Linked DNA regions of Arabidopsis thaliana. The protein of the gene in region 2 interacts with the protein of the main gene of each other region in a pairwise test. Each region holds a gene or a part of one and is shown on either strand. Other genes may lie near its edges. The genes, in order: ANNAT1, AT4G26410, NTMC2T2.1 and ARD3.

What was found.
Region 1: the proteins of AT4G26410 (region 2) and ANNAT1 interact in a two-hybrid assay, tested with the Arabidopsis thaliana proteins (one large-scale study listed by BioGRID).
Region 3: the proteins of AT4G26410 (region 2) and NTMC2T2.1 interact in a two-hybrid assay, tested with the Arabidopsis thaliana proteins (one large-scale study listed by BioGRID).
Region 4: the proteins of AT4G26410 (region 2) and ARD3 interact in a two-hybrid assay, tested with the Arabidopsis thaliana proteins (one large-scale study listed by BioGRID).

Annotation. Positions count from the first base shown.
Region 1 is NC_003070.9:13,221,997-13,229,240, reverse strand, and holds ANNAT1 (annexin 1), read right to left. Parts: upstream 4,074-7,244; 5' UTR 3,938-4,073; coding exon 3,862-3,937; intron 3,266-3,861; coding exon 3,120-3,265; intron 3,034-3,119; coding exon 2,302-3,033; 3' UTR 2,002-2,301; downstream 1-2,001. Other genes in the region: PUM9 (pumilio 9), read left to right, coding at 1-457, 935-1,097, 1,248-1,411, 1,490-1,739, 1,813-1,917; AT1G35710 (kinase family with leucine-rich repeat domain-containing protein), read right to left, coding at 4,855-5,141, 5,226-7,244.
Region 2 is NC_003075.7:13,342,277-13,349,727, forward strand, and holds AT4G26410 (chromosome-associated kinesin), read left to right. Parts: upstream 1-4,377; 5' UTR 4,378-4,483; coding exon 4,484-4,726; intron 4,727-5,218; coding exon 5,219-5,285; intron 5,286-5,501; coding exon 5,502-5,579; intron 5,580-5,711; coding exon 5,712-5,764; intron 5,765-5,876; coding exon 5,877-6,013; intron 6,014-6,100; coding exon 6,101-6,165; intron 6,166-6,280; coding exon 6,281-6,339; intron 6,340-6,425; coding exon 6,426-6,515; 3' UTR 6,516-6,861; downstream 6,862-7,451. Other genes in the region: AT4G26390 (Pyruvate kinase family protein), read left to right, coding at 1-149, 781-1,242, 1,330-2,142; AT4G26400 (RING/U-box superfamily protein), read right to left, coding at 2,677-3,747; AT4G26415 (uncharacterized protein), read right to left, coding at 6,862-7,351.
Region 3 is NC_003070.9:1,621,824-1,631,043, reverse strand, and holds NTMC2T2.1 (Calcium-dependent lipid-binding (CaLB domain) family protein), read right to left. Parts: upstream 6,126-9,220; 5' UTR 5,947-6,125; coding exon 5,842-5,946; intron 5,760-5,841; coding exon 5,655-5,759; intron 5,554-5,654; exon of another isoform or gene 5,518-5,553; coding exon 5,467-5,517; intron 5,347-5,466; coding exon 5,226-5,346; intron 4,814-5,225; coding exon 4,692-4,813; intron 4,535-4,691; coding exon 4,433-4,534; intron 4,203-4,432; coding exon 4,128-4,202; intron 3,716-4,127; coding exon 3,636-3,715; intron 3,441-3,635; coding exon 3,290-3,440; intron 3,217-3,289; coding exon 2,986-3,216; intron 2,885-2,985; coding exon 2,606-2,884; intron 2,516-2,605; coding exon 2,402-2,515; intron 2,251-2,401; coding exon 2,104-2,250; 3' UTR 1,755-2,103; downstream 1-1,754. Other genes in the region: AT1G05510 (naphthalene 1,2-dioxygenase subunit alpha (DUF1264)), read right to left, coding at 354-529, 625-1,028, 1,372-1,517; chr31 (chromatin remodeling 31), read left to right, coding at 7,849-9,220. UniProt on the Arabidopsis thaliana protein: May be involved in membrane trafficking.
Region 4 is NC_003071.7:11,229,746-11,236,357, forward strand, and holds ARD3 (acireductone dioxygenase 3), read right to left. Parts: upstream 3,617-6,612; 5' UTR 3,575-3,616; coding exon 3,512-3,574; intron 3,424-3,511; coding exon 3,312-3,423; intron 3,233-3,311; coding exon 3,138-3,232; intron 2,997-3,137; coding exon 2,882-2,996; intron 2,795-2,881; coding exon 2,670-2,794; intron 2,566-2,669; coding exon 2,377-2,565; coding exon of another isoform or gene 2,313-2,376; 3' UTR 2,025-2,312; downstream 1-2,024. Other genes in the region: AT2G26390 (Serine protease inhibitor (SERPIN) family protein), read right to left, coding at 1-130, 366-746; Iqd4 (IQ-domain 4), read right to left, coding at 4,906-5,655, 5,733-5,855, 6,047-6,271, 6,374-6,612. UniProt on the Arabidopsis thaliana protein: Catalyzes 2 different reactions between oxygen and the acireductone 1,2-dihydroxy-3-keto-5-methylthiopentene (DHK-MTPene) depending upon the metal bound in the active site.

The DNA.
Region 1 (7,244 bases), on a different chromosome or scaffold from region 2:
AAACCCTAGCCGCCATGGAAGCTTCTAGAGGTTTTTATCCAGAGGAGGATAGTTCTCTGCTGAGTCCATTTCACGAGAAGGTTTCTGGAAAGCTTGGAGCTTCTTATCTAGAAGATACAGTACTAATCGGTCAAGGCTCTTATGGGAAGATGAGTCCAAAAAGCAATAATGATCTCGTCTCCATGGTTGAGATTTATGGATCTGTGAACTTAATGGCGAAAGATCAGATTGGTTGCAGAGTTTTGCAGAAACTGGTCGAAGAAGGAACATTTCATGAAGCTAAGGTTATATTACTTGCAATCATTGACCATGTCGTTGAACTTTCCATGGATCCTTTTGGGAATTACATTGTTCAGAAGCTGTTTGATGTGAGTGATGAGGAACAGAGGACGTTGATTGTGAGTGTGTTAACGTCAAATCCAAGGGAGCTTATCAGAATCTGTCTTAACACTTATGGGTAAGCTTCACCTTTTTTTTTATCAACTTTTAGTAAATTTGATTCATTAGTTTAGTCAACAAGTCCACGAGCTCAATAGAGATGGAGACATTTCAGCTTTTGAGGATTAAGATGAGATCTTTCTTGTTTTTTTGGGGAAGATGAAATCTTTTCTGTTTATGGAAATATTTGAAATCTCTGCATTAGTTTTGTAGCCATCACTATCAGTCTATCACTAAAAGAATGCAACATTTGGTAGAAAAGAATGAATTTTTATTTTTACTTTTTGCTGTTTTTGGACAAACCAAAACTGCTTGCTTCAGGAAGAGAGAAAAAAAAAGCTGAGACCTTTGGGCAAAACCCTCTAAATCCGCTTACTTCTGATTACAAAAGGCTGAGAACTTTTGGCCAAAAGCATAGAAATTTGCTGGTTTTGATTTGTGGATAATATGTTTTTGAATTCTGATTTGTGGATAATGTGTTTTTGAATTTAAACAGGACAAGGGTTGTGCAGAAGATGATTGAAACTGTGAAAACAAAACAGCAGATTGCATTGGTGAAGTCAGGTCTCAAACCGGGGTTTCTTGCTCTTGTCAAAGATCTGAATGGGAACCATGTGATACAGAGTTGCTTGCAAACCCTTGGCCCTAATGACAATGAGGTTACATCTTTTGTTTCATACTCAAGCTTTCGTGAATGTTGTGAAATTTGGTGTTAGTTTGAGTTGGAAGCAGCTACAAAGTAATGTGCTGAGACTGTTGTTTTTGTTTCTTACTTAAGATCTGATTAATGTTGTGAATTTTGGTGTCAGTTTGTGTTAGAAGCTGCTACTAAGTACTGTGCTGAGATTGCTATTCATCGACACGGATGCTGTGTTCTTCAATGCTGCATTTCAAACTCTGTTGGACTGCAACGTGAAAGACTCGTCGCTGAGATATCAAGAAACTCGCTTCACCTTTCTCAGGATCCTTTTGGGTAAATTTAGTCTCCACTTAGACTTAAAGATTTGGTATAGTTTGAAAAACTCTCCTTATAGTTAATGAAATTTGGCAGGAACTATGTGGTGCAGTACTTAATAGATCAACAAGTTTCTGCAGTGAAGTTGCTGGTTCAGTTTAGAATGCACTACGCCGAGTTAGCTACTCAGAAGTTTAGTAGCCACGTGATTGAGAAGTGTCTAAGGAAGTATCCAGAGAGTCGAGCTGAGATCGTCCGTGAGCTCCTCTGTGTTCCAAACTTTGAATATCTTCTGCAAGATCCTTATGCGAACTATGTGATCCAAACTGCTCTCTCTGTAACCAAAGTAAGTCCAAATCAATACATATGTTATAAGCTTTTAGAAACAGAACTTGACATGGCTTTTGGGGTTGATGCAGGGACCTGTTCGTGCTAAATTGGTGGCGAAGGTTTACAGGTACGGGAAACTACACTCGAGCCCTTACTGCAAGAAGATTTTCTCCAAGACCATCTTGAAGAAGTGACTTTGATTAGTAACTAAAAAATGTTGTTGTTGTTATTTTGTGTTTCAAGATCGGATAGGGCTTTAGAGAAAACAATGCCCTTAACTTTTTTGTTGTTGGTCTCCCTTTTTGTAGTGACAACAACTTTTGTCAAAACCAGAACTACTTGTTAGTCTGTGTTTTAGGCCAATGCTCTTCATATATATATAACTTAAGAGACCACACTGGTTCTCTCTGTCTCTCTCTTTTGCATTATTTAGGAACTCAAAACACACAACAGAAACAAACAAGGTTTTTGTAGAAACAAAATCAAACGATTTGAAACTCATCAAAGAGAGAGAGAGGGAGATAAGAGATAACAGAAGCTGTAGAGCAGCTTATGTTTCTCTGTGGAGGATTGATTGATTAAGCATCATCTTCACCGAGAAGTGCGACGAGCATCTTCTCGTAATCTCCACGAGTGTCTTTGGTAATAGCTTTCTCCAAAGGAATGCTGTTCCTGCGCTGGTACTCCTCTCCAATGACCTTCAAGTCAATCTCAGCTCTTGTGGTCACAATTCTAGTGAGTGCTCCTTCATCAGTTCCAGTTTTGTTGATTGCTGAACGAAGAACATCGACAAAGTAAAGCTCTGGTCTTGTCAAGCACTGAATGGTTGACCTCAAAAGTGCAAGGAACTTGTCATCATCATCTCCTTCCTCAAGACTCTTGAGAATTTCCTCGCCATGATCATCTTGGTAACGGTTAAAAGTAGCATTGATCTGAGCTTTGCTTCTTGTGGACAAGATTCTAATAACATCCTCATCATTGTAGTGCTTGTCCTTGATTTTCTCATGGACCAGCTTAGCTTCTTGCTTAGCCAATGTCATGTTCACTTCATCTCCTTCGTACCTGTATGAGGTAACAAGAGAAACCAAAAGCTTTCTGAAGTCACCGGTAGTGTGGTGAGCAACGTCCTCTTCAAGAGACTTCTTGTAGCGAGCATGGTAAGCTTGCCTAGCGTGAAGCAGCTGCGTTGATGTCCTTGTGCAAGCAACTTCCATAAGAACTTGGTTGCTTGAAGTCCATCTTTTTGTAGCTTCATTAGCCAATAAAGCATCACGCTCACCGGGTTCAAGAGTCCACAACAAGATAGCTCTCTGTCCATGACCAAAAAACCAATTAGAATACAATGACTTCACACAAGATGTTTAAAAGTCGATACTTAAAAGTCCGAAAACCGAACCTCGAAATCGTTAGAGAGCTCCTTGTCAAGAGTCTTGAGAAGGTCTTCGCCGTAGGTTTCGTGGTATGCTTGCCTGATGACTTTCCTCTGTTCAGCACTTCTGTGAGCCAAGATTGATATGATCAAGTCCTCGTTCGTACCCCATCCTGCGAAAAACACGAATCAGATTCACTTTACATAACCATCAAAGTCACATACTTCAGATCCAAGTCACACACACTTCAGATCCATAATAACAGAACCGGTCAAACAGATTCACAAAATATAAATCTTAAGATCTTAGTGTTGTATTACACGTAACTACATTATAGATCTAGACTAAGAAGACAGATCTGTGACAGTGAGAATCAAAACACAACTCAATCAAGATCTCGTGTGAATGTAATCATTGTCATTATCAACATGATCAGACAATCAAAACTTCATCACTAACACAAAAGATTGTTATAGATCACACAAAGAAAGGAGATCATTGTCACTGATCCGATCCATGAAGGAACAATCTCGATCTACATCATCGTACAAATGATCATAAAACGCTACCGACACAACATTCATATCATCGGACCAAAACAAAGATCGATCCACATGAAAAACAATCAAAACAAATGATCATACAATAACCCACCAAACGAAAACCAACAGATTCACATCACTTTTACAAAAAGTGGATACTGATCATGTAAACAAGAAGGTAACAAAAACAGAGAACGTAACAAGAAGAATCATGAAACTATTATACCTTCAAAAGCGGTTCTCAATTGCTCAGCATCATCAGAAGGAGCAGGAACAGAATCAGAAACCTTAAGAGTCGCCATTTTTCTTCTACTTTTAGTGTTTTGTGTATGTTGGGAGTCGAAGCCGACACAAGATTGACTTATAAAGGGAAAGGCTAAGAGGTTTAGGACACGACGTGGCCTGTCCGTATATACCAAAAATATCCCAAACGAATTATTAATTCTTCTGCCACGTGTTTCTTACACTTTATGAATTATTTAGCATTTGCTTAACTTTATGCACAAATCATGATTTCATAAAAAACTATCGTAATCTCGCATTAACGGTTTCATTGGTTGTCACAAAATCATCCGCAAGATTATAAGTGTTTAGATTTCGTTATTATAATCCATTTTGTATTATTTTAACACGTTACAGAGTACAAGAGTGTAAGATTTTTTTATTATCACTTGCAAACGTGATGTCCATTAGAACTCATTATACAAAAAAAAACTTATTTCTTTCTTTACAAATCTCCTACTATGCATTTTTTTTTTTAATCTCCTACTATGCATAAGAAATCTCTTACTAATTCTGGCGATATACAGATAGACAGTATCCAAAACTTTATTTGAATGTTCATATGTGAGGAGTAACACAATGACCATTATCTAAAAATGCTTTTAACAGTTTTTTTTTTTTTTTTTTTTTTTTCATTTTTTTAACTTCATAGATTTCCATTAACCAAACACATTACAAGACCAAAAGGCCTAACATGGCACGCAAGCCGCAAAGATAAAAACAAACAAGGCCCAAAGACCAACAAGGGCGCAGCCCAATACATACAAAAGCTGAAGCAGGCCGAGAAGCCCAAACAACAACAACAAAAGCTGAAACGAGAGTCGACACCCCTTCCTGCAAACACAAGCAAGAACAGAGAACAAAAGCCAACAGAGATTACTGTTGCTGTATAGATAAACACAATGATAACATAGAAATTGATGGAGAAGTTCAGTTTCTAAGAAAATGTAGTGGAGATTGACAACATCGTTGGCCGAGATTCTGGATTTGCTTGTAAACACAATAAAGCCATTTCCACCATCTTCAAGAGCTTCTCTCTATTTTGTCCCCGTGGTTCTAATACACGTTCATCGGAAATGCTTCTTAGCGACAGAGCTTCTCCTGGAGACGAAGACAAACTCGATACCAAATCTCCCGGATGTTTCCCAATTATCAATTCGAGTATCAAAACCCCGAAGCTATACACATCGCATTTCTCCGTCACCTTCATCGTGTAAGCAAACTCTGTTGCGAAAAATCAAGTTCAATTTCGAATTTAGTGATTTAAATTTCATAAGCTCAAAATCAGATTTAGGGATTTAGATTTACCTGGTGCAACGTAGCCGTAGGTTCCAGCAACGGCGGACCAGTTTGATGAATCCGTCTTTAGAAGTTTTGCTGTACCAAAATCGGAGATCTTAGCTGTGTAATCGTTATCGAGAAGGATGTTTCCGCTGCTAATATCACGGTGAACGATCGGTGTTATTCGGTCATGGTGCATATACGATAAAGCGTGAGCCACACCTTTCACGACGTTGATCCTTTTGGTCCAAGTGAGTCGCTTAGCTTCTTCGTCGTTGGCTAAGAGTTTGTTTAAACTTCCTTTTTCCATGTACTCGTAGATCAGAAATGTGTGGCGGCGGTGGGAGCAGAAGCCGAAGAGCTTCACAACGTTGCGGTGACGGATCTCTGTTAATGCTTTTACCTCGTTTAGGAACTCTTGCTTCACAACTGGCTTTGATATCTCTTCGTCTATTGTGTCATGTAGTCGTTTAACGGCTATGATTGTATCTTGGAGGTTTGCTCTGTAGACTTTGCTGTATCCTCCGGTTCCGATGAGGTGTGTTGGATCGAATTCGTTTGTTGATTCGATGATATCTTGGTATTTGAATTTGCCATCAACGCTGAATATGGACATATTCTCTCCTGTTTCAGGATCTGTGTTTCTTCCATTTTGTAGTTTTCGTTTCCGAATGCAGTAGGTGAATGTGTTTGCACATATAGAGAGAATGACGAGTACTCCTAGGATTGGCACTAATATCCACACAACAAGGTTGCCATTTTTCTTCGGTTTCTTCAACTCACGGCATGGTTTCAATCTTTGTTTAGGAATATTACTGCATAAGCCTATGTTTTCCTCCAATGCATCTGCTGTTGCTTTTCGAAACGTTGGAGTATCTGGAAGCGGACCTTCGAGTTTATTGTTTGATATATCGACGTTCGTCAGCGCTATCATGCCCTCGAAAGTTGTTGGAATGAGACCTGAGAGATTGTTGTGTGAGAGGTCGAGCTTGTCGAGGCTTTGCAGGGAGCTTAGTTGTGATGGGATTTCTCCGTCGAGCTGGTTGTGGCTGAGATCAAGTTGCGTTAACTGAGTCAGCTTTGATAGTCGGGGAATGCTTCCGTCGAATTTGTTTCTGCTCAGGTTCATGTCATGAAGCTTTAAAAAGGAGTCAAAGGTTTGTGGGATCTCTGAGCTGAAATTGTTTGAGGATAAGTCAAGAGACTCAAGATTGGTTAAGAAACTTAAACCTGCAGGAACTCTTCCAGATAACTGATTCCCATTAAGTCGTAGCCTCGACAAATTCGTGAGATTTCCAATTGCTTCTGGAAGTTCACCAAAGAGGTTGTTGGTAGATAGATCCAGCTCAACTAGTTGTGTCATGTTCCAAATCTCTGTTGGGATAGCACCCGTGATGTTGTTGTTTGACATGATCAAGGCACCTAGCTTTGGACTCTTCTCCCAGTTGCTAGAAATCTCACCGTGGAATTTGTTGTGGCTGAAATCAATGAAGTTAAGGTCTGGGTAAATCCCAAAAGCTTCAAAAATATCGCCAGTGAATTTGTTTCCTAGAAATCTTGCTCTGATCAGGCTCTTGCAATCTCTCAAGCTTTTCGGGATAGGACCTTCGAGGTGATTGTAATCCAATGAGATATTTTGAAGCTTCCTACCTTTGCAAACAGTTTCAGGAAAGAAACCAGTGAAGTTGTTGGTGTCAAGTATCAAGGTAGTTAGATGTGAAGAGTTTGCTACTCCTGGCGGGATCGCACCAGAGAGGTGGTTAACACGAAGGTACAAACTTTCCAGCTTGGTAAAGTTACCAAAGGAATCAGGAACAGAACCTGTAAGTTTGTTCTGACTTAAATCTAAATTGATCATGGATTCCATGTTGCCTAGCTCCTGGGGAATGACACCAGTTAAATAATTCAGGTAAAGATAAAGATACGTCAAGTTCTTGAGATTTCCGAAGGAAGAAGGAATTGAACCGGTAAGTTTGTTGTTATTCAACTGTAAATCAATCATCGATTCCATGTTGCCTAGTTCCGGGGGAATGACACCAGTTAAAT
Region 2 (7,451 bases):
TGGTCGAGAAGCTTCTTATGGCGGGGATGAGCGTGGCTCGCTTCAACTTTTCTCATGGATCTTACGAATATCACCAGGAGACTCTCGACAATCTTCGTCAGGCCATGCTTAACACTGGCATGCTATGTGCTGTCATGCTCGACACCAAGGTCAATCTTATAAAACTTGTCATATGTGCATTTTTATGTCTGTATAACAATGCCATCGAGGCGTTTTCTTTTGATTTGGGCTCTGTTCACGCATGATTCTGATCGTTTCTCTATCATTTTACAAGTGATTCATGTCTTATCTGATTGGTTATTCCCCTGCTGATCTGAGGACACTCGTTTTGGCTATGTTTAAGTCCTGTGAACTTTGGTATAATTTGTGGCATGGTACGTTGTTTCCAGTTCGAGCATGAATTAGACAATATCTGTGGTACATGTTTGCTGGTTACAGAAACCAAATGGAGAACTGATGTTGTTTGTTAGACCAGAATATTAATACAAAGTTGATGCATCATGGATGATTAGACTCTTACCTTTGTCGTCTTGAAAATGAAGATTACAATCTCATTAAAGTATTTGCTTCAAATTCTCACTCTCTGGTCTGTTACTTGGCTTTCTGGTAATGAAAGTTAATAAAAATGTGGAATGTATAATGTGGCTTAAAGTTAGCTGAGACACTCTTCTTAGTGGTCTTATTGCTAATAATCTCATGAACGTGATAGATTTATATGTTTTGGGGGACCCTTTTGGTTTCTGAATAATTATGGGAATGATTTTTGTATTTGTCTGGCAGGGACCAGAGATTCGAACCGGGTTCTTAAAGGATGGGAAACCTATCCAGCTCAAACAAGGCCAAGAAATCACCATTTCAACTGACTATGACTTGAAGGGTGATGAGAAAACTATTTGCATGAGCTACAAGAAGTTGGCGCAAGATGTGAATCCAGGCATGGTCATACTCTGTGCCGATGGTACCATCTCGTTAAAGGTCCTTTCTTGTGACAAAGAAAAGGGCACTGTCCGTTGTCGTTGTGAGAACACTTCAATGCTTGGTGAAAGAAAGAACGTTAATCTCCCTGGTGTTGTGGTTGATCTCCCAACTCTAACTGAAAAAGACAAGCAAGACATTCTTGAATGGGGAGTTCCCAATCAAATCGACATGATTGCTCTGTCTTTTGTCAGAAAAGGTTCGGACTTGGTACAAGTTAGGAAGCTACTTGGAAAACATGCTAAAACCATACTTCTCATGTCAAAGGTACATATATACATACATCACTCAAACTAATATAAATCACATATCCATACTCAGATTCTTATGATATGTTACTTTTGATATTGTCAGGTTGAAAACCAAGAAGGTGTAGCGAATTTTGATGATATCTTGATAAACTCGGATGCGTTTATGATCGCAAGAGGTGACCTTGGAATGGAGATTCCAATTGAGAAGATATTCTTAGCTCAGAAAGTGATGATCTACAAGTGCAATTTCATGGGGAAGCCAGTGGTTACAGCGACTCAGATGCTTGAGTCTATGATCAAATCCCCACGACCAACAAGAGCAGAAGCTACTGATGTTGCAAATGCTGTCCTCGATGGCACAGACTGTGTCATGCTTAGTGGTGAAACCGCAGCTGGAGCATACCCAGAGCTTGCTGTTCGTACAATGGCCAAGATATGTGTGGAAGCAGAGAGCACACTTGACTATGGAGACATCTTCAAGAGGATAATGCTTCACGCTGCGGTCCCTATGAGCCCGATGGAGTCACTTGCTTCATCTGCGGTCAGAACCGCTACTTCCTCAAGAGCCACTCTTATGATGGTCTTGACCAGAGGAGGCAGCACGGCGAGGCTGGTGGCTAAGTATAGACCAGGGATACCCATTTTGTCCGTGGTGGTTCCTGAAATCACGTCTGACTCTTTTGATTGGGCGTGTAGCAACGAGGCACCGGCAAGACACAGTCTCATCTACCGTGGTTTAGTCCCGGTGCTGTATGCTGGATCGGCTAGAGCCTCGATCGACGAGTCAACAGAAGAAACTCTCGAGTTCGCGTCAGAGTATGGTAAAAAGAAGCAACTCTGCAAGACCGGAGACTCTGTTGTGGCTCTCTTCCGTACAGGTAACGCTATTGTTATCAAGATCTTGACCGTCAAGTGATCCCATTTGCGTTTGAGTTTTGCCGGTGTTTCTTAGCGTTTTGGATGTTTATTCATCATGGTGACTAATCTTGAGATGAAACTCAAAGTCTCTTTTGTTTCTTTTTTTGTGTGTGGCTCCCACACACTACATAATGTTCTTGGATCATACTCTGGTTACAAGTACATTAGTTTGGTACGAGTGCAATTGCATAAACAAAGACTATTTTTTGAATATATTTTACAAAAATGTGTGATCACATTTGGCTCGTGATCACACAACTTTGGGATTCGTATTTGGAGATAATGCGATTCATGCAGTCAACAACCATACTCACAGTCACATGCCTCTCCCTCTCAACATAAATACCTGTGTTCATCTTTTTATATTTTACTAAATTAAAAGGGATACTTTTAACGGAAACCCAAATGATCATCAGATATTATAATACAAATAAAGAAAAGATTCCATTCCTCGAAAGTGTTTATTTGTTATGCAGTATTCAACAATCTGAGTGAACAAGATTTTATGTACTATAAGCTGAGGAATAGCAGTTTACGAGTTCTCACCGAGATGAGATGACCCCGAGGCCGATGCGGATGACGAAGAGGATGAAGAGAATAATCCGCTGAACGGCCATGGAAAAGAGAACCTTCTCTCGCTCACATTACTGTTCCTTGCATCATCTTCCACATTCTCATTACTTACGTTGATCTCTAGAGTTCTTGTTCTCGGTCTTACAGGATTAACCTTGGTCTCATCATCAGGAGGGAGTTCATATCGGCACACGGGACATGAACTGTGAAGCTCGAGCCACGGTACTATACACCGGATGTGAAACTTGTGCTTACACGGCATCTCTTTAGCTTCACTTCCTTTGTCAAAATCATCCAAACAAATCGAGCACTGCAATGATTCACTTATCTTAACCGTTGGGAGATTATCCACAACTTCTTTACGTGCTGGAAGACTCCCGTGCCTGATTGAATCATTATCAGCTAGATGTTCAAGCAAATGGTCTAAACTGGATCCAACAAAGTAATCTCCAATTGCAGAAAGAGAAGTATTGTTCCGGTTTTGATTCAAACTCGTTGAACCCTGAACAACAGCTGATTGATTTAACAGGTCTCGATCCGAGCTCTCATACTCAGAAGCAATCCCTGCACGAATACCCTGAAGCAACTGCAATATAGTAGCTGAGCTTCTCCGTCTCCTCCTAAGGATAGACTCAAACTCTCTGTCTAAATCAATCTCTCTACCTTGTTGCCTGTGGCGATGACGACGATGATGATGTCGATCAATATCGACGCTGTCATTTCCATCAACATCATCAGATACATTGACCTCATCATTATCCACACCAAACTCTGTCCTCCTAAACCTTCTACGTCTACGAGGATTACTCATCATTCCAAGCAAGATTGGACCCCATAGAGACAATGCACGGTCTGTACCAAAATCAATCTCAGGGTCTTGAACCTCCCTTAGACTGCTACTGCTGCCGCCATTAATCTCACGGCTCATTTCCTCGACAAACCCGCTTTGGCAAAAGGGGCATTTGATCTCGGCACCAATAACTGGATTCACCATTTGTGAACACATGTGACACCAATACCTAGCTGACATTGCCTCTTCCTCCTTCTTTCCTTCCCCACCCAAACCTCTCGTTTCTGAAACAACCAGAAGAACAACAAAAAAAAAAACATGAAGAAGCAAACCTATAAAGTTTCGACCTTTGTTTCATCAGATCTAAATAAAGAGAATGGTATTCCCAAAAGTTTCACTAAAAAGAGGATAATATCATCTTCACCAACATCATTAGCTCAAGTTTCAGACAACAAAACGCAAGCTTTCTATGCAAATGCGAATAAACAGATCAACCAAAATTTGCCTCTATAAAGAGATAACAATAGAAATCAGGGCTAATCCATGAAAAGAAAACTCTCAATTCTCATGGAGTAATTAAAACAAAACAAATACAAAAACAAACCTTGTAAATGTTCTTACTTTTGGAGATCCAGAGGGAAGAAATGTCTTCCTCCTTCTTTTAGATCTCCACGAAGATAAATGAGAGCTTTTTTATTTGTCTTCTTCTGCAGAAATGGTGGGAGACGAAGAAAAGAGGAATGAAGGAGGAAAGGAAGACGAAGATGAAGACGAAGAAAAGGGAATGTAATGTATAGTTCGCAGACCCAATCTTAAAGCCCATTAACCGCAAACTGATATATAAAGGAGCCGGGTCTATCTTAACCATTTAAAACCAACTTCTAATTTGGAATCAAATTGAACCGAATCGAACCGGTTGAAGTTGAAAGAAGGAGAAAAGGCGTTGTCTCCGTGCGAGAAAGGCAAATCGGAGACGATGAGCGAAACCGAAGCAACCGGCGTTACCGATGATTCGGCTCCAGCGATTGAGACTGAAACTGTTTCTGATGCGATGGAGCATACAGCGATCGGAGTGGTTGAATCGGTGGAAGGAGCCATAGAAGGAGCAGAGAAATGGGTGGGTGATTTGCAACGGACGGTGAAGGAATCGAAGGATACCGCAATGCGTTCTGCTCGTTCCCTCCGTGAAAATTCTACCTCTCAGTTCCGCTCTATACAGGTTAGTTAATCTCTCTTTTGTTCACCAAACAATTTTTGCGAATCGAGATTGTTTACCAAAAAACATTTTCAGGATTTCAAACCATGGATATGGTGGAATTTAGTATCTCGTAAGCTATAATTTCTAGAAATGAGCTCGATTCAGAACAGATATTTCTCCAATTAGCAGTTTTATGTATTGAATGGTGCTAGTTTTTGTTCATATGGGTAAAATCTTGTTGAATCATACCATTATAACTTATTGGCAATGATCTTAGTCTCTTCCTGGGTTCTGATTCTGCTTCAAATGGTTGTTTAGAAGACTGTAATGTATCGCTGAGGCATTCTTGATTATTCTCTAAACAATGTTTTTATATGATATCAGATATTCATGTAGCTTAATGATGTGTGATATGGAGTAGACCCTATCTGGCTGAAATCACAGTTCCATTAGATGTATGTATATGTCTTCGTCTTCTCTCATACAATCTTACATTTGATTCTGAAATTGCAGGATTTCATTCCACATGCTTTGACTCAGTATAAGACCTATGAGAATGCTTTCTTCAGTAAAGTTACAGGTATCTTGCAGCCAATTTTCGTGAAAAAGTTATACTGGTAGACTACTGTAATGCTTAGGAACGAGTATTTTAGATCAAACTGAGATATAACAGATAGCTGCCACAAAACTTTTATATATACTTGTAGTGCATCTTATAGTGTTCTGAAACTAGAATCTTCATGTCATTCCGATTAATCAATCCTCGTATCCTCTGCTGCTTTTGTTATCCTCGCAGACGAATTGATATACGCAAAAGAGCATCCGGCTGCTGCTATTGGGATTGGTGTCGCTGCTAGTCTCGTTCTGATGCGAGGTATAACCTCTACTCTCTTATCACTTTTACAACTTACAAGATTCCTTCCCGTAGGAGCATCCAAATGGTATTACATCTGTTTTACTTATATGTGTCTTGTATGAATTTGGTTTTCTATTGTTCGACTTACAGGCCCAAGAAGATTCTTGTTTCGTAATACACTAGGCCGATTTCAGAGCGAAGAGGTATATACTATACCAGCTTCAAATTTATTTCTTAACGTTGTTATGCTTAGTTGCCCTGGTCTGTGTCCCTTCCCTTATTTTTACATCCACTTCAAAATCATCGTCGCTTCAGGCACAATTCTTGAAAGCTGAGAAGCATGTTCAGGAGTTAAACATGTCTGTAGACTTGATGAAAAAGGAGAGCAGGAAATTGCTTGAGAGGACGGCTTTAGCAGAGAAGGATATGAAACGTGGTCTCTCTGAGCTCATGTATGCCCCAACATGGACGCTCCCACTTCTTTTATTAAGTTATTGACATCATTTATGTTAATATGGGTACTACTGTTATATCTATAGGAACTCTGGAAACGATATACATCGTCTTGCTAAGTCCGTCCACAAAGCTGAATGTGAAGCTGCTGGTAATCTTGAACAAGATTTATTTTTACTCACTTCTCCCTTCTCCCTTCAAATGGTATCTTTGATAATGCCACTACGTCAGATTTCAACTTACACAAAGAGTTCTATTCGCTGCAGATTTGATGGACGGACTTCGGCAAATTCCTGGAAGGGATGCTATCAAGCTTAGAGCTGAAGTGAGTCTGACTTTTTTCTTCTCGCCCATTGTTTGAGCTTCATTGCTATGAACGTCTCATTAAATTCTTTTGTCGTAAATCATTAGGTGGCTTCCATGACTTCGCTTTTGAGACAGAAGAGGATTGCATTGAACAAAAGGATCATGGGTATGTCGGACCTAGGAGTTTCCGTCTGATATATCCAACACAAATCCACAATTTCTTGGGTTTTCGCAACCAAAGTTTGTTAGGTATTTTCCAATTGAATCGCAGTGTACTCTCGTCCATCGAACATCCAACTCTGTCTGAAACCAAAATCTGAGCTTGAGACAGAACTTGTATACTGTGTTTTTGCCTGCTTCCTAAGATTTCTCGCTCAGAGAGAATTAATTGAGTCACAAAAATGTGTGTGCTTGGTTTGGAAATCCTTAATTATGTAGTCTAGAAGATTTATGAGAAACATAGAAAGTTACTGAATCAATCAGTAATGAAAATTTATAGATAACATGAAGGTTTTTAATGGGCTAGTTTTGCATCGTAAGTCTATGGGAGACGGGCTGTGGGCCATCCACCCATGCGACTAGGCGACCCAACTGCTCCGATTGGTCTAGTAATGTTAAACCCTCCAGACGAGCAAGAAGCTTCAGTCGTCGGACCGGTCCGACCATTAACGTCCAGAGTCCGTTCTCTCCTCCTTAGACGCTCCCTCTTGAGCAGAGTCCCTAACTTATCTTTTCCCGATTTTCCCTTGTCCGGAACAGGTATCATCTCCAGACCCATCAGCTTTGCAACAACCCCCGTCTTGCACCATACCACACTCTCTCCGGCCACTGTCCGTGGCAGGCGTTTTGTCTCCAAGCTCATCTGGCTCGATCTCTTTGATGTCCGTTGATCCCCGCAGTGGGATCTCCGCCCACCCTGTATCGTCATGTCAGCACTGGTGCCAAGATGGCGCCGGAAGGATGACCGGTACATAGCGTCCTTACCGTCCAGTGAGAAACGTGGGTACTGATTCAACGCGTTCCTTGCTGACCTTAACGGCAGACAAACAGAAGTTGATATTAGTATTGATCATAGTATCATACACAATAAAATTATTTCTGTTTCTTCCGGTAATTCCTTAAATATCACTA
Region 3 (9,220 bases), on a different chromosome or scaffold from region 2:
CTCAAGTGTCTTACATTTGTTATACACACACATGACAAGACTACGCTTCTGTTCCTTTCTTTTCACTGGGGCCTTTATTTATCATAGTGTGATTCAACAAATTTTGTAGTTTCCATTTGGTCATAGTATTATCATCTTTTCTCTAAGGTTATAATAACGATTACCCGCAGGGTCATAAAAGATAATGAACTGGAGTCATGAAGACGTAATATTTAAAACCACTAGACGACACCATAATATACTACTTCAAGTGTATTTTACATCTTATACACATGATTCGAGGAGGGCTATACAAAAGAAAAGCTCGATCGCTTATTTATTTATTCTTCTTAAGTTGTCTATTTAAGTATAACTTAAACGAAGACTCTTGGAACGGACTCAACCGGCTTTATGTCAACCTCTCGCAACTCCAACTTCAGGCCTTTGCCTCCTCCATTTGCCAAGGGATGGATCCCATGGTCTGGACCCTTCATATAAGCCCTTGACTCTCGCTCCTTGTCTATCGATACTCCAAATTGCTTTTCCGTCTCTGCGGTCACCCATTGAACATTTCAAAATGTTCATGTTAACTTTCATAAAAGCATATTTGACTAAGCATAACCTATAAATGACAAATCTACGTACCCTTGATCATTTCCGGATAAAGTTGTCCGTCTCGAGTAACAGCCATCATGATATTAGGCAAGCCAATGGGAAGCTGATGCCCCAAATCGACTTGCCAGAAATGGTAAACTTTCCCATAAGTCTTGGCGACTTTTTCGAGATCTTGCCGTTGAATAGCTTCGGGAACACCGGGCATGAACAAGAAGCCTCCTTTAACTTCCCACTCGTGAGTGTGCCAAAGCTTCTTCTCATCGTCAGGCAATGTCATAAAGAGCTTCTCTGTCACAATGTACTCCAGACCGATCAGACGAGCGTTGGCATCAGGACCGTCGTAGATCAGACACTGGCGCATGTCTTCGTTGATGTGACCACAGAAATGGTGTGCCTCCACTTGTCGGGTCATGTCATATGCATAGAAATGAAACCTATGACAAGCGCAAAAAGGAGAGGATATATATAGTTCATCTTTTTACTGATGCAAACAAACTCATATGAAATAGTTAAGTTTCATTCTGCATGCATGTACACAACTCCACACGTGTTCACATCGATTAAAAATTCAAGAAAATTTGATTAACTTGATTTACGTAAGATATCAATACAATGTTTTTTAAATCTAAACTACAAGAATTTGACAGATCTATTAAACGAAAAAATGTGGTGTAGGTTTTATACTGTTATGATTATCCCTCATTCTTCCGATCCTCTTCTTTATTTCTTGTTTAAAGATAAAATGAAAAGAGAAGATTAACAATTTCAGAAGCGTACGCGCAGAGATGTTGGTGGATTTGGTTAATCGGAGCGAAGCTTTGTACGGCTGAAGCTGCCGTGTCAACCATGGAGGTTCCGGTCTTCGTTGGCTCTCCTGGAACCTTGGGTCCATTTTTGGTGGATAAATGAACTGCCTTCTCCATTACACCAATCAATTAATTCTCTTTTCTCTGCAACTTCTGTCTGATTCTTATAACTAGCAGCAAGTGAATAAGAAGAGACGGTGTTTGTATAGCTCTCGTCTTAATAAAATGAAGTGGGCATTTGCATGGACTATGACACATGGCAAACATTGAAGGTGTCACCGAGTGTGCGTGGCTTATTTGGCTTCACTTGAGGATAATAAGCAACAAGGACTAGTCAATATGTGTCAAGAGATCGCTGATTATGATAGTGAAACAAACTTGGTGAAGACAAATATGGTGATACGTGTAGACGAGATTTTAGGGTAAAAGGTAAAAAATTATTGAAGGATTGTGATGCACGCAAAGATCAAACCCCTTATGACATCTGAGCTTATGAGGCAAACGTACACGAGTATTGTCTAGGGTTTTCAGAAAAAAAGAGGAAAACTCATATTCCGAGTCCACAGCTTCTGGGCTACATGCAGACTCGTCTTTGTTTGACAAAACACATCCGTTTGACGCTACTAGACAACATGTACATTCGAAGTTGTGAATCTTCCGATTAAGCTTAGGAATCACGATAAATTGATTCTACCGATTAAGCTTAGGAATCACGATAAATTGATTGAGCCATCCACTTCAGATGCAGCTGAAGCTTGCCCGTTTTGGATTCGTCTAATGGGTACCAGTCTTTGTACTCCTCTTCCATTATAACCCTTGTCAACGTGAGGATACATCTCCCAATGTAGTCCTGTCCACAAAAGTAAAGCCACAATGTTTCATTTTTCCAATGCCCAATGCCAACACAATAAATAATAAACCAAACGAGAAAAACATCCATTTGGTGCAATGACGCAGAATAATAACCATCAAATAACAGTGTTGTTGCGGTTTGGTTTTACCTTTCCAAAGGTGTCGTGGTCCCAGACTTCAAGGACTAGCATATCATGTAACCCGTCTTCAACTACAAAATCAAAAGTCTGGTTCCATACCGGGTTCAAGCTGTCATTGACGACCTGGTGAAGCAAAATTGCCATTAGTTAATGAGGAGGATGAAACATCTATAACATGGATAACTCTTTGATGCTTTAAATGAGAGGACTTACCCGAGTTTTGCTCTTGGCACCTGATTTCTTCATCGAGAGAACAACATATGGATCAGCTTTCCCCATCAGATCTTGTATTGGTATCTCTTCTGCAGATATCACTGTCACAGAGAGAACTCCTCTTACAATGACATCTTTTCTTTTACGGCTTGATGCATTTTCTTCATCTGTTGTATCATTCTTGAGCACCCTCTCTAAGGACGTCATCGATGAAGTGACAAAGGGATTTACAATGCCGTTTCCCGAACCATAAGGGATGTAAAGGAGCTCAAGGTGAACCTAAATTACAGAGAATCAACAATAACGTCCATTCATTAGCCATGTACAGATACAAAATCACAGGGTTTATTTAATTAGGGGAAATTTATAGCCGATCTAACCTCTCCACGGTTCTTAGTATCTCTCTGGATCTCCAAATCTTTGACCAGCTTCAACCAGACGTCTTTCACTTTACCAGGTTCAAGTTCACAAAGCCGGATTTGGGCACAACCAATAAGCTCAGATGCTTGTACACCCTCGTCATCATATATTCTGACCACTAAATGTTGAGTTGACGCGTCTTCCACAACAAATTCAAAATGCTCATTCCAGATGGGATTCAGGTCATTGTTCTGATGAGAATAAATATAAATCAGATCATTCTGGTAGGTTTAGCACAAAAAGAGGATTAGATGGACTACTTACAATTGTCTTGCTTCTTTTAGTCTTTTCACGCAAAGGGCGTATAAACATTTTAGCAAAGGGGTCTGATTTTCCAACTAGATCTTTGTTGGTCAAGTTCTTTGCTTGCACAAGCTTCACCTCTAACATTCCAACAGGCTTTAGCTCCAGATCGCTGGGAATAGAAACACAAAAAAATCTAAAATAAAAGTCCAAAACCAGAAAGACAAGCACCATCATTTGCATTGACTATTCGAAAGTGCTATAACACAATAGTAAGAAAGTCAAAACGAAAAGAAAAAAAAGTTGAGCATATCCTCCACTGAAGAACGTCAACAGTTCAACTTCATCTATTTAATCTGAGGTGTACCTATAATCACCAGGTATAATTGGGATGACCTTCCGAACAGGCCATGTGATAGAATCTTCCACGGCATCCCGAATTGTTTCCTGAGACATATCAACTTACTGGTAAGTGTCATATGCACCAGGGCATAAAGGACCATCTAAGAGATTACAACCTTGCATCATATGGAGCGTTGGGTAAGAAAACTAGGAATGTATACTGTGATTTTACAAAAATAGCATATGAACAAGGTTTCATGTGTAGAACTTAAGCTGTCTACTCAAATTGCCAACCTGTCTAGCAAGTTCTAAGATAAACACATATGATTCCACCTATCATTGTAAACAAGAAAAGATGCTTAATAGGAAAATGCAATAACCAGAACACCCTGTTGATTCTCGACCACATGTACTTCATAGCTAAATAAAGACTTGTAACCACTTTGATATTTCCTTTCTCTAAGACTCTAGAATGACATAAATATTTGGTATCAAGAAACTAAATAGTATGCCAAACCTCAATAGCTTCAGAAAGTCCAGGAATTGCTGAAATATCACCTCCAACAACCTTAAGGGTGAAGTCCAATTTTTTCTGCAACACAGAATTGAATGTATAAGCTAAACATCATACAAAATTGATCACTACACCCGAATATTTTGTGTCACCACAGCTTTCTTCAATGAAACCAATCTAGCACACATACATGCATGCTCAGGTATGCAAGCAGAAGGATGCAACACGATTAAGTAAAAGTACAAAAAACTTATGAACTATCTTAGCCAATTTTAGCTACAGCTTCAAAAGTTGCAGAGGGCACTAACCTTTTCTCTAAGAGAAACGCTGACAGCTCCAAAGCAGGGAAAGTCCTCAACTAGTGGCCTAAAAATTAGCCTGAAAACACCAGTGAATCCGATGTTTTTCACCTAGAAAACAAAGAATAAGAAATCAGTTGTAATCAGCTTATCATTGATCAAAAAAAGGTTAGAATATCAATATTTCCTTCACAAGTTCTGCAAGACAGAAGAATTGACAAATAATATAAAGTCAAAGTAAGCAATCGAGGGAAATCAAATCATATACCTGAATGGGGAGGGATACACCAACTAAGGTCTTGACGCCAAGTACTATATTTGGGTTTCCATCCCATTGCATATCAAGTTCCAAGGTAATCCCATTTTTATCACCGTCGATAACGGAAACACCTAACGAATACCAAGGAGCACAAGCAAAACATAAATTCTAAAGCAACAATACAATTTCGTTTAAGATTATGGTTCGTCTTTTTGCAAACTTTAAACACACAATCCGAAGAAGTGTAAAGAAGGATACTGCTGCCATTGCCTGATTATTTCCCAGTCGAATTGATAATTCACTCCTCAGTTGTTATTCAATTGAATATTTTCCTTTTGACAGGAATTCGATGACTATCACAGAATAGTAGGTTACAATGTGGAGACACGTAAAAGTAAGAACATTCTTAGTCTAAGCTCAAGCTCAAGAAAAGTTCACAATCAAAAGGATTCCACCAACAATTCAACATGACTCAATTGCACAAGTTCTGGTACCTTACAACACAAAGTTTTACACTTAAAAAGAGAAATGAACAAAACTAACCTGTAAATTGAGGTGCCACTGTACCGAGAGTAAGCTTAGAAAATGTTAAGGAGGCCACAATGGCAGGTCTATATTGCTCAAGAACAGGCTCCACGGATGCCTTTATAAGCTCAGAGGCTGCCTAAAACTCCAAATCGAATCAAAAGAGGACAAAAAAAAAAACTCCTTTAAGAAACAATATCTTTATCCATAATACAAATAACATATCTCTACTTGAACGAATTAGACAATAGAAACATACCTCATCAACATAAGGCCAGATCTTTGTCAAGTGATGGTTGAGCCAAGTCAACTGAAGTAAATAAAAAGCCAAAGCAACAACAAGAATCAGTCCCAAGTATGACCAAATTCTAAAACTTTCGTGTTCTTCCAATACGCAGAAAGAGAGAGATGAAAACACATCAATATGTAAGTAATGTTGTAACTCAACTTCTGACGCTCGGAGAAGACAACCCAGGAAGGATAAAACTCAGGAGGCAAAAGCTTCCTGGAATCCTCCACCGTCATCCTCGCAAAAGCAGCCACCGTATTCGCCTTATAAAACAGAAACAAAATCCCGATTAAGAAGAAAAAAAATCGAAATTTTCAATCCGAAAAAGGGAGAGTGGGGTCTCACAAGTTCAGAGCGAAGCTTGGATCGAGAATTCTCCAACTTGACAAAGCCGATGATGATTGCGATTCCGACGAGGAGTCCGATTACAACGCCGACTATGAAACCCATATTTAATCGCCGGATTTAGAAAAATTGCAATGTCCGTATTACTCTGATCAACAAACACACCAGATTCAGTTCCACGAGCTAAACCGAATGAAAAATAAAAGAGAAGTAATTTATTTCTTTTCTAAGAAATCTCTATAGGAAAACAAAAATAAATAAAAAGGTTTTTGATTTTAAATTGGGATTAGTCTCATTTTAATTACAGATTATATATTTCCGAAGAGTTCGCTACCGACGCAGACGCAAAGGTTGTGCTATCGCTCGCACCAATAATACAATGACACGTCATATAACTTGGAATTTACAGAATCGGTGAGATTTTGACTTTGACATTGTTAAAGACAAAAACAAATAGAAAAGAAAGACAGTGATGGAACTAAATCCCCGGAAAGATTTTGAACATCGTCACCGGAACATAATCGCAATGACAAAGATTGAGCTTTGCAAATCCTCACTTAAGAAACGAGTCCAGAGTTCTGATCATATGCAATTAGGATCTTGGGGGACTAACAGTTGATACTTCATTATACCCTTAAATCATGAGATGACTACATACCATAATAAGTCTTGTACTCGTGTAGCTGACTGGTTTCGGCTATGGTAATGGCTCATTGATGTTATGTGACGGTACGGTCTTAAGAAGTTAGTTTTGTTATACAGTTTTCGATATTTGCTTCTCTAATAATCCTCTGAGGAATTTGTAACTTGTCACAAAAACATAAACTTAGGAGATTAATAATGGTCCCCTCTGTAAGTTATTATCTTCTGACTAACACAGTTTAGCCTTTTTCCTAATTTGTCAAAGCCTCATAGGACGTGATGTGTTCATTACTGCGATTAGATAAAAGGTGGGCACTTAAAGTGAAGTTGGTACATAAATTTTCTTTCATCATATTTAGAACTTGTTGGTGATGTAAATTAATGACCAAGTTCCAATATCAAAAAGACTTTGCGTGAAGAACTCATACCTCTCTCTATTAATGACAAGTATTCTTCTCTGTTTTCTCTCCTTGGAATGATGTTGTTTGCTACTTTATATTCTAAAAACCTTTGTTTGTATATGTTTGTAAGTAATCATTTTTGGTTGCCTTTTCTTTCAAACACAATATTCTTTAGTTTAAAAATAATATAAAGGTCTAATAGTGGAATTAAATGCCAGCAAGAGGAAGGTAGTTGATTTCAATAATACTCCAATCTCCAATCCCATTCAAAGAAAGGGTTTGAGATTCTTTTATAAAATAGTAAATGATTCGATTTTTTTCATTTAAATTGTTATAACAAATCTAGATTGGTAAACTAAAAAGATTACATTTCAAAACAAAAGCAAAAGGAAAACACAGAAAAAAAAATTAGAAGCAGTAAGACATAATTTATTACACATTGTTTGTCTTGTAATGAAATATCTTCTCTTCCTGCAGTTTTGAGTGACGTGTTGACTCTGTAATTTCAGAGTGGTCAAAAAGGTAATTTAGAACAGAAAAAAACAATGCTTGAAATGGAAACTGATTAATGAGCTGTTTTTTTAACGAAATGTAAGAAATTTTTTGACCAAAACCAAAAAGCAGAGTGTGTGGAAAAATAGTACCGTTTTGGCGGTATGAGAGACCTCCTGAAATAGCATGGTTTGGCTTTGCCATCACGCTTTCTTCATGCCCTTCTCTCTCTCTCTCTCTGCCCATCTCTCTCTGTTCCACTTTCTGAAACCAGTGAAAATCAAAAATTTCTCTAAAAACTCAAGAACTTCATCATCTTCTTCTCAGACCCGTGTGAGTGAGTGAAAGATTCGATTTTTTCTCATCTAAAGGTTCGTTACCTTTCTCTCTCTCTGTTTCTTTACAGACCCCATTGTCGTCTTCTCTAGATTTCTAACAGTCTTTCTTTTTTCAGATCTTTGTGTTTGCTTTAATGGAGTGTATTGGGAAGAGAGTGAAGTCCCGGAGCTGGCAGCGTCTTCAGGCTGTTAACAAGCGGAAGAAGATGGAGACTGTAGCTCCGGTGACATCTCCCCCAAAGAAACGACGGCAGAAGAAACCTAAAAACTATGACTCCGACATTGAGGACATCACACCAACTTGCAACGACAGTGTTCCTCCTCCTCAAGTCAGTAACATGTACTCTGTACCTAACAACTCTGTAAAAGAGAGTTTTTCTAGGATAATGAGAGATCTGAATGTGGAGAAGAAATCAGGTCCCAGCTCCTCTAGGTTAACAGATGGGTCTGAGCAGAACCCATGTCTGAAAGAGAGGTCTTTTAGGGTTAGTGATTTGGGCGTGGAGAAGAAATGTTCCCCTGAGATTACAGATTTGGATGTTGGGATACCTGTTCCGAGATTTTCTAAGTTAAAGGATGTGTCTGAACAGAAGAACACATGTCTGATGCAGAAGAGTTCTCCTGAGATTGCTGATTTGGATCTTGTAATATCAGTTCCGAGCTCTTCTGTGTTAAAAGATGTGTCAGAAGAAATCAGATTTTTGAAGGACAAGTGTTCCCCTGAGATTAGAGGTTTGGTTTTGGAAAAATCAGTCCCTGGCGAAATAGAGATTCTTTCAGATTCTGAGTCTGAAACTGAAGCTAGAAGAAGAGCTTCAGCCAAGAAGAAGCTATTTGAAGAAAGTAGCAGAATTGTAGAGTCTATCAGTGATGGTGAAGATAGCTCAAGTGAAACCGATGAAGAGGAAGAAGAAAATCAAGATAGTGAAGATAATAACACCAAAGATAATGTAACGGTGGAGTCTTTGTCTTCTGAGGATCCATCTTCATCATCATCATCGTCATCATCGTCGTCTTCATCTTCCTCTTCCTCCTCGAGTGACGATGAATCATATGTAAAGGAGGTAGTTGGAGATAATAGAGATGATGATGACTTGAGAAAGGCCAGTTCACCAATCAAGAGAGTTTCTTTAGTGGAAAGGAAGGCTTTGGTAAGGTATAAGAGGTCTGGTTCTAGCTTAACCAAGCCTAGAGAAAGAGACAACAAGATTCAGAAACTAAACCACCGAGAAGAAGAAAAAAAAGAACGACAAAGAGAAGTTGTAAGAGTAGTAACAAAGCAGCCGAGCAATGTTGTGTACACTTGTGCTCACTGTGGCAAAGAGAACACAGGAAACCCTGAATCACACAGCTCTTTCATTAGACCACATTCAATAAGAGATGAAATTGAGGATGTGAACAACTTTGCTTCTACTAATGTATCAAAGTATGAAGATTCTGTTTCCATCAACTCTGGGAAAACAACTGGAGCTCCATCCAGACCTGAAGTGGAGAATCCAGAGACAG
Region 4 (6,612 bases), on a different chromosome or scaffold from region 2:
TTGCTAGAATAAGTGTGCTATTACGGATCTCCTTGATAGTATCGGTACAATCGCGTGAAAGAATCTGCTTGATGAGTCCATTTGTGTGGACGTCAGCCCATATATTTACCTCATCAATCACTTCAACAGGCTTCATGACCAAGCGATAAAAATTGACCAATCATTAGTGAAGTTGGATGTCATATATACACAAGAAATTGAAGAAATAAAAAAAGAGAATGTGATATAGCCGTCTCCTTCGTAACCACATTAAACGTCTTAAATAACACGAACATTCACCTTTATATATCTATGTTATAGGGATTAGTCTAAGTTTCGGTCCCATAATAATTGAAGCAAAATTTATCCCTAACGAAAAAAGTTACCTTGGTTGCGAAGTCAACTTGACTACAAGAAGCCTTGTAGGAATTCTCCAAAAGCTCTTTAAAGGAAGGCTTCAAATAAGAAGACTTGTCGATCCAGACACCGTGAGCCGTAGATAAGCACAAATCACTTCTCTCGGTGCCGCCGTCCGCGATCTTGGCCAAGACCGCGTTAAGGTGATCCGTAGACGGTGACATGAGGAATGAGAGGATTTCTTCTTTGGTGACGGGATTAGAACCAGCGGCGATGAGGCTGAGCAAAACGTTGATTGACATCGGTGAAAAGACAACATTGGAGCCATTGGCGACATCTGTTTCAATGACTTTCTTTGCTAGTCTTGCCACGACGTTGTTTTGGTTCTCAATTGATTTTCCTAACTCCATTTTTTTCCAAGAAGAGGTGTACGGGAAGATATAAGAATGGTTCTGAATATGCAGATGTGATGATTGATGAAATAGCTTGTTTCAAGTATACTAGTAGCTATTTTTTGTTTTAAATATATTTTCTGCACATGAATTATTCAATCGAAATGATTTAGAAGTAATAAAGTACCGCGTGTGGAAAAGTCGTATCATGGACTTCGTTGGAAGTACTTGGCATTAACTATAAACTAGGTCTTGAAGTTTGGTTAATTTATGCCTTATGGGTCAATTTACTTGGAACAACTCTCTTTTTCATCCTTTTACCCATAAGGCATATGCATAAACCAATTGTTCCAAATCGATTTTATAACTCTGGGAGTTGCCATTTGGAACAACTCTCTTTTTCATCATTTTATATCTCAATCTAGGAATCTATCATAGCTTGGCTATTCTCTAAAGTAAATTTCCTTTTTCTTTACTTTCTAGCACTTAAATAAAACTCCAATGAGCTATCTTTTTCAGTTTAAAATATATTTCTATGTTAATTAGCTCATTTGAACATAAATCTTTCTTGCTTTGGTGTCTCCTACATGTATATTTTGGAACCGTCTGTCAATTGGATTGGTGGATTCCGACTCTTATATCAAAGAGAAACAAAATAAAAAAACAGAGTAATAATCTTATTAGAGGGGGAAAACAATGTTTTTAAAACCAAATCATTGCTAGAGAACGTGATTTCCTAGCGAAAGTTTACACTTTACACCACAATATATACTAACGTGCATGTGAAAAGAAAAGAAAAGAAAGAGAAAAAGGTTGAGATGAATGTCTGAAGCAGCCAAATCTTATACTCCCTCTGTTCTATAAAGTTTGATGTTTTGAGTTTTATTTTTGTTTCATCAAGTTTGATGTTGTAGGTTAATATTATTATTATTTTTATTAGTAACCAATAGAGAGAAAAGAGAAGTAAAATTTATATTATTAGATTAATAGAAAAGTAATAAAAATAATATTAAAGTTACATTTTTTAATTTGTGTGAAAAACCCAAAACATTATTTTTTTAGGAACAGAGGGAGTAAACATGAACTGGAAAATAACAAGACATATACTTGATGTGTACATGTATCGATTTCTTCTTCTTCTTTTTTATCTTTTTTTTTTTTAGTTAAATGTATCGATTTCTTAGTCACCAAGAGGCAAGAATATAACAAAAGACTAGAAATTCTTTTGTTTGATTTTATTTATCATTGGGTACAAATTCTAAAAACATGAGATTATGGATACTCCATAAGTAATGTGTTCAATTCAAATAATCATTTTATTTATTTACAGTAACGGATGTATATCATGTATTATGCATAGACACCAGTAGGTTGAGACTAATAGTGACCGATAGTTTTATATATTTTCTTGCTTTCATATATTGTCATTTTCCTTCTTCTTTACATTACAATCACAACAATAATGCCAAAAGACACATGAACCAAAATGTCTTCGGTTTCCATGTTGTAAACATAATAAAGCATAATTAAAGACAACATCTAAACATATGTTTAGCTTATAGAAATCTGATCCCCGAGAGTTCTTTACGCTGAAGCGTCTATGTTACGGTCCCCAATCACCTTCAAGAATTTTTTCATATACGCTTTCCTATAAAATAGCCGTTTGAATATACATAAACACTTTTGTCGCCTCTTTGCTTAGATATATAACTACAGATCTAGTAAGCTTTGTCGTGACAATATGGGAGAACAAGACATCATTGTACCTTGCAGGAAGATGGTCATGTGGGCGATTATAAGCAGTCCACACTGGTCCACCCACGAAAAGACGCATTGCCTGTTCAATATATAAGAAAATTCCAATTTTCTAAGCAACCAAAAATATATTACTTGAACCTTCATATAGTATGAATTAATAACTAGAAGAAGCTAAGATTGAACCTTCATATAGTTGTCCGAGTCCACGGTGAAGCGATGATATATTCCAGCAGGGAAGACTATCAAACCTCCCTTCTTTACCCATACTCTAATCCAAATATCATTGAGATCCCTCACATCAAAGTATCCTTTGATTTGTTTTTAAGAAAAAATAAAATAAATGAGCACCATATCGAATTTATTTAAGTACTAAAGCAGCGAATAAAAGTACCTACCACTTCCTGCGAGGCAGTAACGGATCTCTTCATCAATATGTAAATGTTCTTCAAAAAACATCTTTACTTTTTCTTCATAGTTTGGAAGCTTCTCTGGACACACCTCACATAAGTCCTAAAACCAAACATCCAAATGTTTGCGAATCAAAAACGAATATTTAATAATCAACTAACAAACGAAGATTTATTTTTTGTTAAAAAAAAAGACCAAACAAAGGAAGATATTAAAAAAAGGCATCAAATAAATGTCACAAACCATGTAGGAGTAACCACGAGATTCGCGGATCCTTTTCAATTCCTCATCGGTTTCATAGTTATCAGCATCAAGTCTCCAGCAAAGTACTCCAAGCTCTGAACAAAAAAAAAAAAAAACATTATTAACCTACGTGAAAGAATAAAAGTATGTGCAACAATGAAGATACACACAGACCTGCAAGTTTGTCCAAAGATACAAATTCCTTAGGATCCTTGTGGTGAGGAAGTTTCTGATCCTCTTCCTTATTATCCAAGTACCAAGCTTGAATCACTTCTTCAGTTTGATCCTAGAAAACATCAATCTGATGCTAAGCAAAAACACTTCTAAAGTAAATGGGAATAGATCCTAAATCAAGAAGGAAGAGTTTATATTACCTTAGCGGCTTCACCCATGGTTATTCTTCTTTTGTGTTCAAAATGAAGAAAGAAAGAAACCATTTATATAGATAAAAAAGGAAACCGCTAGCATTTTTCTGTGTGCAAAAATGTAAAGTAAGAACACAAAACCACTCTTTCCATTTCTTAGGCACCTTTATCGAGAAGACAAGGACGTCACGAAGTGTCAAGGAGATGACGAAGAAGTGATGACGTCACGAAGTCTCACGACTTCTATTTACTCTATTTGCATTTGTTAAATAATAAGATGCTTTGTTCTTATCAATTATTGTTCTTAATAATAAGACTTCTATCCACTTTCTCAGGTCTTTGGTATTTGTTTCGATGTACTTAACTTTCTACGTGTAAGGAAGCTTCATGTTAGAAAAAAATAAAAATGGAAGCGTCATGTATTTGTTATTTGTTTCAGTGTACTTCAGAATTAGCTTTTTTTTCATAAATATTATCAAAATCTAAGACTATATAGGCTTCCAAAAAAATTACTTTGGAAGCTCATTGGAATCTTATGAATTTTTTTAATGGAAAATTGTGTTTCTATTTTAAAATTTTGATGTAAAAATAAATAAATAAACATGAAATTATTTCCGATAATCTTTTCTACACAAAAGAAAACCAAACTAGTTTTGTGATTTATATAATTTTTCATAGTAATATTTAAATTTTATTTTCAGTAAGACCATGCTAAGAAAAATATTAACGGCATGAATCATATATGTGTGATATTCGAAGTTATTAATTGAATTAAAATTAACTTTGAGAAACTTGAGTTTGATGATGTTATTACGGACAAATTACAGAGAAAGAGGAAGAATGATCCACTACATGAAGTTTACTAATTCATAGCAACCTGTCTGATTGATTGATATGTCTCGGCCAGAACGTAATCCAGCAATAGACTCAATTGTACATATTCATTGAGAGCTCCACAATCCAAATTTTTACAATCCCGATACAATGTCTTGTTTTTTTTTTTTGGTTTTAACAAACTCTTAAATTGATAACAAACTTTGTCACAAACCAGCTCCAGTTCACGTAGACTCTCGTTTACTTTTTGTAACCATTGCATATGTCATTTTGAATCGATTTCAACGACTATTTTCAAACATTAACGCGAAATAAATGGTTTAAATTTTTAAAAAATGTAAACAAATAATCCACCAGATAAACACCAAACCGAAACAGACATACATCATTTGTACTCACCCAAAGAAAACAATCAAAATAAGGTCTTCAAAATACACTCTTTGTTTTTTTGTTTTTTCTTTCTCTTTTCTATTTGCGTTGATAGAAAACAAATCTCACATTTGAGATGCTAAATCTATCAAACCGCCACCAAAGCAATATCTTGGTCTAGATAAGGCTATTACTTTAGGTTAACTGCTACCACCATTTCTTCTCTTCTTCTCTCCATTTGCAACACCAGTTGTTGCTTTATCCGAATCCGACAATTTCTTTGTTTTCCCAAGAGAAGTAGAAGATGAAAGCCTCTTCTTTGGCAATACCATCTGTGGAGGTTTCTTCTTATCAGCAACAACCTCCTTCTTTGGCATACTTGTTGTTCCGACATTAACCTTAGATTTCACAGCTTCCGTGTTGGCCAAGTTTCCTGTTGTTCCCACACTAGACTTGGATTTCAAAGTTTTCGTGTTATCCAAGTTTCTTTTTGCTCCCACATTAGCCTTGGGTTTCACAGTTTGTGCATTACTCACGTTGCTTGTTGTTTCCACACTAACCTTGGATTTCACAGTTTGTGTATTATCCAACGAATTTCTGCGCGAGGATGAGCTACCAACGCTTTCATCATCTTTAGCGTTTTCAGATGATCCACCACCGATACTGTGCCTGCGATTAGTAACCTCGATCTTTCTACTCTTTGTATCATTGTTTACAGGCCATTGAATAGAACTTTGGCTAGCTGACTTTTGTGTTTTAGATCTGGCAGGAGAACTCTTGATCGAGTTTTCGCGTTTAAGAGAACTTTTAACGGAAACTTGATCGTCAATGGATTCAGCATCCCACGGACGAGAAGCCATCCACCTCTCAAGCCAACTCCAACCCCAATCTGTTGTGTTTGTGTCCATCAAAGTCTGATGTGGAAGTTTTGAAGAGTTTCTCCATGTTTGCTGTTTTATTTTCCAACATCAATATATAAACAACTATGACTAAGTTCACAATGATGTTGTCTTTAATTTATATTTACCTGATGACTGTAAGCATACGCCAATGCCCTTTCTCGTCTTACTGAAGCTTCTTTTCGATTCACCGACCTTGCCACGATCTGTTCCTTTGATTTATTGCTGGAATCAAAATTTCCCGCGGTAACCTACAACAAAATATGCTCCAGTTCAGAATTTTGGTTCACCCAGTGTGGTAAAATGTAGGGAGATTTTACCACATAACAATGGGATGACTCTTTTTAAATTTTGTCATATTTTTAGATGAACGGTTGCATATATTGTAAACATGGTTGAATAAATTTTACATTCATTCAACAAAAAATGTAACGAGATTTACCAAATTCTGATGGTTTTCTTTCTGGTGACCCTTCTGTTGGATCAGCCTGTGACGAGTTTTGTTCTCTGCAGATAACCGATTCCTCCTCTCTTGAATCTGTGTTTGTAAACGTGTAAGAGTTTGCATTGAGCTAAGCATCGCATTCATTTGTCTTTTGACGTATTTTCCTTGCAGCAAACTTTTGAGTCTAGCCATTCCTCGCAGCGCACGAAGAGTGCGTCTCGCCTATGAAATTTCAAAATATTAGACTAAGTCTTTCATAATAAGAGGAATTAGTGATTTTTTTTGTATTTTGTCCAAAAAAAAAAAAGTGATTTTTTTGTATACCGTGTAACATCTATACGCATTTTGGATCTTGATTGCGGCAGTTTCCTCCTTTGATTCCTCAATTTGAGGTGTTGATGGGGTCGTGAGACGTATAACCTCCGCGGCAGCATGTGCAGCTACCACAGCTGCTTCGGCTGCAACAGCCGATGCAAGAGCTAAAGCTTGTCTATTCTTTGATTCTTTAGACTCACCATAGATTCTTGTATTGATGGTATATGCCGGAGGAGGAGGAGGTGGAG